Drosophila melanogaster: one gene and its partner. The protein of the gene in region 1 interacts with the protein of each later gene in a pairwise test. Each region holds a gene or a part of one and is shown in the gene's direction. Other genes may lie near its edges. The genes, in order: CG14535 and HP6.

What was found.
Region 2: the proteins of CG14535 (region 1) and HP6 interact in a two-hybrid assay, tested with the Drosophila melanogaster proteins (one large-scale study listed by BioGRID).

Annotation. Positions count from the first base shown.
Region 1 is NT_033779.5:7,852,465-7,857,587, reverse strand, and holds the start of CG14535 (uncharacterized protein), read left to right. Parts: upstream 1-2,112; 5' UTR 2,113-2,564; intron 2,565-4,221; 5' UTR 4,222-4,286; coding exon 4,287-4,631; intron 4,632-5,123.
Region 2 is NT_033779.5:4,577,108-4,580,374, reverse strand, and holds HP6 (heterochromatin protein 6), read left to right. Parts: upstream 1-2,156; 5' UTR 2,157-2,271; coding exon 2,272-2,592; 3' UTR 2,593-2,656; downstream 2,657-3,267.

The DNA of each region.
Region 1 (5,123 bases):
TTGACATGCGCTCAAAGCACTGGTCCAATTTTGTTGGACTATGTCTTCGATGTGCAAATATCTCGATCCGATTCGCTTGAACCTATGTAAAATATTTATTTTCGCAGACATATTCTTCAGCGACGTCGTTATACTAGTCAATGCTTCCTGTAGGTCAGATAGTTGACCCTCCATCTTAAGTTCTGACCTATTGGTTCTGTTCTCGATATCCTCTGCAATGATCTTCTTCCACGATTCCGTTAGCGATGTCTTCTGGCTTTCAATTTCTTTTTCAATATCCCTCTGTTGGGCCTGTATTTCTTGCAACTTGCAGGTTTTCCACTGTTCCTGGTGCTGGGCAATGTGACCGATCAATGGCATCAGCGCTTCGAGGCTTCGACACGATCTGTCTCCTCGCATCCTGAAGGTGATGCATTTATAACTATTGCGATAATTGCGTAATATAGGAGAACTTTCAGCTGGAACATGCTTAGCAAATTGAACCTCTTTAGACGAACGTTTATAATGCACTAAATGTGAATTCCTATGCTGCAGTCTGAACAGCAGCGCAATATTGTTGATAAGAATTTATAGATATAATATATATTTTACTGGAAAAATAAATATCATGCTAAGTATTTTCAGCTTACGCTAAAAATAAAAAATAATATAAGCTATAGTGATAATTATGACAACAGCGCAATATGAACAGCAGCGCAATATTGTTGATAAGAATTTATAGATATAATATATATTTTACTGGAAAAATAAATATCATGCTAAGTATTTTCAGCTTACGCTAAAAATAAAAAATAATATAAGCTATAGTGATAATTATGACAATACTTGGATTGAAATTATATATAAAAGCATATCATGAAAATATATTAAACAGTAGTACAGATAAGCAGGAACTTTTATGTTAAATATAGTTTAACGATTTCTTATTTTCATTGCATGTTAATGAACTCAAGATTCAAACTACAACGCCGTTGGCGTTGCCACGTTATGTTCGCCCGCCAGATGGCGCCGCAGCTAGCCTCCAAACTGTACGCAAGTGCTTCTCAAACTTTTTATCTCCATTCACCGAACTTGAGCTTTGTTTCGTTTATTTGCTTGCGTTTTATTTTCTTTGGCGCTTGGATTGCATACAATTTGATTTGCTCGATGCGGAAAAACGATTTTCACGGAATTTCCCTTAAGTATTAAGATAATTAGTAGCGAAACACCTTAAAACGGATTGGATTACAGCCCTTTTCCCGCAGCCACCTTAATAACAATCAGCCGGGTCCACTTTAATTGACCCGTTACCGTTGTCCACTTGGTGAAAAAAAATGGAAAAAAAGTAGAGGTAAATCCGTGCAAGCCCCATCCATTCCGGTGCACACATGCTTTTAAACCCGAACACACACTCAACAGCTCCTTCACGAGCCTGCCAAATGTAAGCGAACTTAAAAACACATCGTTTGCATTTGGCCCCTCTGCCCACCACTCACCCATCCCCATCCACGAAAAGCCCCATCATCACCTCACGCCCACTCTGCCCCCTGAAAAAGCCCCCTCCATCAGCAGAAACTCCAAGCGGCACTTAAGTGACGCTCCAGCAGCTCAACTATCACCATGTCCATATTCCTTTTATTCCAGGTACTCACGCAGAAAAAAGGTATATTGTATTTGTACTGTTGCATCCCAGAGGCGGTAAAAGCTATGGATTTCAATCTTTGAATGCTAACGCCTGCACTTTTAACTCAATTTTTGGGGATAACCAACTTTTAAGTATTTATAAAAAAGATTTTGTTATCTATTTCTTAAGCTATATATTCTTTTAATAGTTTAGTAATAGTGTTTAAAAATATTTAACAATGAGACCATACTTTATAAATTTTTTTTTTTTTTAAGTAAAACATATTTTTTGTATAATACATTACATTATTGTTTTAAGGTAAAGAAATAATGGTTACTAGCGTTTAAAGATCGAGTGACCATGGACATCTTCTAGTAAAGACGAGGTATCACTCTATTTTAATGTTCCTGGCCAGTGAGCATTTTGACGTCTACAATATAAACATCATTTACGCTGTTCCTTTTGTTTTAGCCTCGCTGATTTTGTTTACCTGAGCCTCAAAGCCACTGTCGTTGGCCGAAAGCAAGAGATTTTCCGAAAGAGAGTGAAAGAGTGAAAGTCCGACTACCCTTGGGGTCAGCAATGTGGCGTTACCATACGCGATTCGCTCTTTCTTCTGGCACGCCTGCGCCAAAGAGAGGCGGAAAACTCTTGGGAAATTCAGGCCCAGACCGAAGACCAAAACCGAAACCAAAAACCCGACTTCAGTTGCCATTGTAATGCCAACGCAATCGGCACGCGTTTGGCTTTCGCGCCTGGCGGGTTTTTTATTTATTATTCGCTAAAGTGACAAGCCAATACAAAAGAAAAACAACAAAGCTCGCTGAGAATCGGGGAAAATCCCAGTGTGTTGAATATAAAGTATAAATCATGTGCGAGGAAATCAAGGCAATTTGGAAAGTCGAAGGAGTTGAGCCAAAGATGAAATCAACAGCGAGAAATTGCCAGTCATAAAAAAAGGGTTTGTGTTTGTTCCTGTTTCGTGTGTGTTTGCGTGCCAGTGTGCTTGTGTGTGTGTGTTGTGCCAAAAGGGAAATCCCTTAACCCCCGCCTACCCGCTACCCCGCAGGACCCTTAACCCCTGACTTCAGCTAGACTCCCCTATTGTGCGTCGTGTACAATTAGAAGGCATTGCCAATCGATTTGTGTGAAAAGCCAAAGCTAAAACTCAAAAGGTGGACGACGCCAGTCCTCCAATAAAAAGCGAACTGAAACCGGGCAGGCAAAAAAAAAGTAAGGGACAAACCCATATAAAAGAATGGAAAAGCTGCCGAAGAAGTTCCCTCCAGTTGGCAGGTGCGCGTAGCCTGAAAAATGAAGTTGAACCGACCCGAAGTTGTTGCCTGTCATTCAAAGGGGATGGCAATGGAATGGCAATACAGAAGAGGCCAGCGTGTATGGAATGGGGAAATTGGGGCTGGGAATCGGGGGACAATATTAATGAAAGACGTTGCAAAAACGTCACGTTTTCCCCAGTCAAATTGAAATAATAATAATGAAGGCATTGAAGAAATGTCACGGCCCGCGACTGACAAGTAAAAATGAAGAAATCCAGTGGAATTTGCATGAATATCTCAAATATATGTAAAGTTCAGCACAACAAGTAAAGTTAATAATTTCAGTGATATAAAACATAACAAGCACGATAAGAAGCATGCCCCAAAAGCATGCCATTCCGATATCTAAGTTTGAGTGACACGCCTTAGAAAGCCCATCCCAAAGGAACATTTTAAAGATGTTCAGACAGTTCCTCAGAGAAATGAAATAATAACTTAATTAAACTCAAGAATAAAAAAATAAAAATTTAAAAGTTAATAAAGCTTTGCAAAAGCAACGGAACCTTTACCAGAAATATTGTGTGACTATAACAAATTTAAATTTAAGGTATTAGAAATTAAACCACATTTAAATATATAATCAATTCTAACAGTAATCATAGAAAAGTTTTTAATTAATTTTTTAATTAATACTGTAACTAAAGTCCTAATGTTTTCGGTAATAGAATGCAAAACCTCTAAAACACTTTATAGCTCCAACAAAGAACTGAAAATTGTTAAAAGTCTGGGCTTAAAACTTTTTTTAATGACCGAAAGGAACTTAAAAGCGTGTACATAAACTTTTCAAATAGAATTAAACTGATGTGAAATACGACAGTCCCAAAAGAACACTAGAAAGACAACGAAGCGCATAATTTCCCACCATAAAAGCCCAAGCAAATTCAACATAAATTTGATTTTATGCACAAGATGCTACAAGTGAATAAAACACGAGCTTAGTGACAGTGACAGTGCGAGCGTGATAGTGATGATAGTACAGTGAAGCATATGCCCAATAAACAGATGGCCCATAACCATAAAGCGAAAGTGTTATGGCCATTACCGAAGGGCAAGGACCCTTCTTGGCGGCAGGACCAAATAACTTATGCCCATCGGGCCGAACCGAAATCGCAATTTATGACAGGCCCAGCAACTATTTAAAGAACCATAAAACCCCCAAAAAACAAACAAAGTTTATGGGGAGTGACGATTGCATTTTAAGATCCCCAGACATAAAACAAAAGCCAGGATTTGGGCCTCTTATTAACTCCCAATTTTATTCGTTACCCCTCCCCACAAAAGGAAACGCAAGTGCTTCCAGCAATAAACTTCCACCGCCAACTGTGGCGAACAATAGTCAAGGAACCATGGCCACCACCAGTACGTCAAACATGTCCCGCAACGGTGGCTTCTGTGGTGCATTGCAGCGGGCACCGCCGCCGATGCCGCCGACCCTCATCCGACGCCTGAGTAGCCGGGAGTGCTACGGAGTGGGCAAGGTGAAGGTCATGCTGCGGGTGGCGGACCGGGACAGGAACTCCGGCGGAACCGAGCCGGACTTTATGGCCCTGGACAAGAAGAAGCGACAGGTCACGCTCACCGATCCGAGAACCGCGTGTCCGCCGCCCCAGGCTGCCCAGGAACGGGCGCCCATGGTGGCCGCTCCCAAAATGTTTGCATTCGATAACCTCTTCACTGGCGAGGATAAGCAGGTGAGTTTCAACCTTAACGAAAATCTGAATGGAGTGCACGTTCACACATGGATGTTGAACCAATTTATTTAAAGCATCCTTAGATCCAGAATAAGTTTAAGAAATAGGTATAAAACATCATAAGTATAACATCAATTAAATCAAGTTGAAATATTCTAAAAATCGTTTGAAAAATATGTAGTTAAAAGTATTAATTCTAATTTATTTAAATGTAAATAGCAAATTTGTTTAAATAATAACAAACAAGAGCAACCGTTACCAAGTAAACTAAATACTTGATTGGTTACTGTTGACACACAGTATAATTTAGGTGGCAAATAACCCTTATTAACAGCTATTAATTCTTGATAAACAAACAAAAGGCCCACCTAATAATAATAAGGGTAATACAATATTGACAATAAAACCATTCATTATGTACAAAAAACTACAAAACTTCCGGCAACTGAGAGTTAACACTTTGCCAGTGTACTTTGCTTTTCTCAAAATCAA
Region 2 (3,267 bases), 3.3 Mb from region 1:
ATATTAATCTTATCAGAAACTTGTCAACAGTCAGCTAAAGTCAATCGGATCGAGCCGCATCCCTGCTGACAAGATATATACATTGTTCTCGGACATCGCTTGTAATGTCTCACTCGCCTGGTCGCATATATATCAATATATTGTACCATTGAGGTGAAGATCTGCGAAATAAAGGGATAAGATGGAGATTTTGTTTAAAGCTCTTATTTTTCACATGCCCATGCGAAAAACCTACCTTCTTAGAAGTGGATATGTTGCACAAATAGTTTCCAACAGCTCTTGGCAAGCTTATTTACACTCATGATCAATATATATTTATCTCCACCAAAACACGACTATTTCACAAGACTAGAACAGATTGGTAGGATCTTTTATCATCGCTGACAGAAGGACACATCATAAATGTGAGGAATTTATAATGGGTTTTTGTTGCCCAGTCACGCGATGATCTCCGCTTGATGGCTTAGAAACCGACCATCAGGCAGAGCCAAGATCTATAAAAAAATTCCCAAGAAATACGTATAAGTATGTATGCATGAGCCAAACCCCTGCGGATTCCTTGGATCGCACTCTAATGATTTCCTGCTTAGGATACTGGGGCTCACCCATAAACCCAAATATGCTGCCGCTTCCCAAGAGCTGTCCCCCTGCCGTCCAATGATTAATGCGCCGATCCTTGTCCGATGCCGATGAGGCGAGAATGGGAATTATGTATTTGGGTTAATGTTACACCGCAGAGCAGCACGGCTGGCATTGCTTTAATTTTGTTTTAACACAAAAATTGCCAAGTACCAGTATTTATTTGATGTGCGCAATGCTGCGATCGGAGCTGTGACTTCGCCTTGGACGGCAATTTCCTTCCGTCGTGGTGGAGCCGCGCATCTTGATCGCCGGGTTCTCAGGCTGTGGCCAGAAAACTGGAATCCCAGAGAACCGATACCATTGCCGACGACGATGCCAGTGCTGCTGGCCATTTCAAAATCTAACTGTTAACTGCAAAAGTTGAACGTACTAGCAGCATGCAACATTCAACGGCTGCACCCACGGCATCAGCAGCATTAACGGCAGTACACTTGAAAAAATATGTTTTGAGAAGGAAAATTATTTCCTATGAAAAACTAATAATATATATGTTCTTAAATATAAAAGCTTTTGGAAAATGTAGAAAAAGTTTATGTTGTTTCTAAATACTTTTGGAATTAATTATTTTTCTGGAATACATACACACCGAGCCAAATATTCTTACACAAAAATCGATTAAATTGAAGAACTCATACATCACTTTCCTCAGTGTATGCAACTGCATCTGAGCGGGCAGCGAAACGAGTTGAAAGCCGTTTTCCCTGTTTGCCAGCCAGCTCTTGAAAGTGGTTTGTTGTCTAACTGCGTTAGTTGCTGCTTTAAATTGTGCGCCCAAGCAGCTCCAGCGGCGTTTAATGGCTCCAACTGGCGACCGGAGACCTCGGCTTTAACTGGCCACCCCGCCACCGACTTCTGTTTCTGTTTCTGATTCCGAATCGGATTCTTTTTGTTGCTGCAGCGGGTTCTCAGGCGGCGTTGGCTAAATGTCATAGCGGCGGATGCACCGAGCAGATTAATCATTAATCACATGCCCATCTGAGAGTACGAGACTTCCAATATGCGGAAATTACTGGCAGCTAGCTGTAGTATCCATATGCCCCATTCCCACCATCCCCATCACCTGGTGGCCGATCATTTCCGCCGACGAGTTGGGTTCCTTTATTTTGCCTTTATTTTGACACTGGGCCAGCAACGGCAATTACTGGCGGCGGTGCCACCGAAAACCCTCCTCCCTTCCGCCCTGATTTATGAGTTTTTAATGAGCGGCCACTTTACACGAATTCAAGTTAACAAGTGGAGCCGCGTAAGAGGCCAATATCGCAAGTAGTATCGCCGGCAATCGCGCCTTGACATTCGAGTCGTGCGAAATGTCAGATGAAGATGCACCAATGATACGCTCAATGGGCGTTGGAATGCACAATACCCTAACTAAATCTGAAAGAATATGTCCAGTCAAGGGGAGTGTACAATTTTATTTCCATTTTCTCTAACGCTTTTCAAATTAATCATTTAGGGCTGCCACATCGAAAGGGTTGCCAAAGCATGTCGATACCTACAGTTATCGAAACTGAAAAATAATATCTCGGTGTGTAAACACTTGACAAAACGTGACAATTGGCTACGCGCGTCGAAAAAAGAAAAATAGATTACATTGAAATAAATCCCACGATATCTAAAACCAAACGGAAGATGCCCAGCTCCACTTTGACGTCCTCTACTGCTCTTCCGGTGAAGCAACGAAATGGATTTGATCTTGGACTCGAACCGTTGCGGATCTTAGGAGCCTGCAACTGGTCCGGTAAGCTGACCTTTTTGATGCAGTGGAAGGGTTGCGACGAAGCCGGCCTGGTGCCCGCCGAAGTGCTCAACGTTCGGTGCCCCCAAATGGTCATCTCGTTCTACGAGGAGCGTATTGTGTTCACGGATGAGGGCGATGAAGAAGACTTGGAGTCGGACAATGGGTATGAGACCACTCCGAGTCCCAGGAAGAAACGATCACGAAATGCCTAGTCCATAAAACTATTGTGCACCGAAGACATTGCGGTGCAATGTCAATAAAGAGTATTGACTCTTCTGCCACGAGTTTTTCTTCATTTTCTGGTCGCCGTTGTCGCTGGTGATTGATTATGCATTTTCATGCGAACTGGTTGCTGATGCTGCACTTTGTTGGCATGCGGGCAGGTGAATAAGTGAGTTTAGCTCGGCCCAGCCACGCCCTCCGCCTCCTAGACGCAGCTTGATGTTGGAGACAGGCCGGCGGCATTATCTGCCGGGCGCGAAATTATACGTGTATGTATACACCGAGCGAAAAGTCTGTAGGGGTATTTGAAAGTTCATAAAAAAAACAGTTCATAAATGGTGCACTTGCCTCATTAAACTTTTTCCAGTGCACTTAATGCTGTCAGTGACCTTCACATCGGGGCGTTGGAAAACCTGCAATTAGAAAAGAAGGTTAAGCCGCAGGATCAGACTCAGCTCTCAGATTCCATGTTGCAGGCGCCTCAAGATTCACGCAGTCAACTAATACGTACATAAAAAAAAGGGTTAAATTGGTGGCGCACCTTTCTTGCAGCGACATTTTGACATTGAAAAAGTATAATTAATTGAGGGGCCCACCAGCAGGTGGGCGTGGCCAGGGGCAGATTAAATCGATTTATGCAAGATTTATGGCAAAAGCGCACAAGA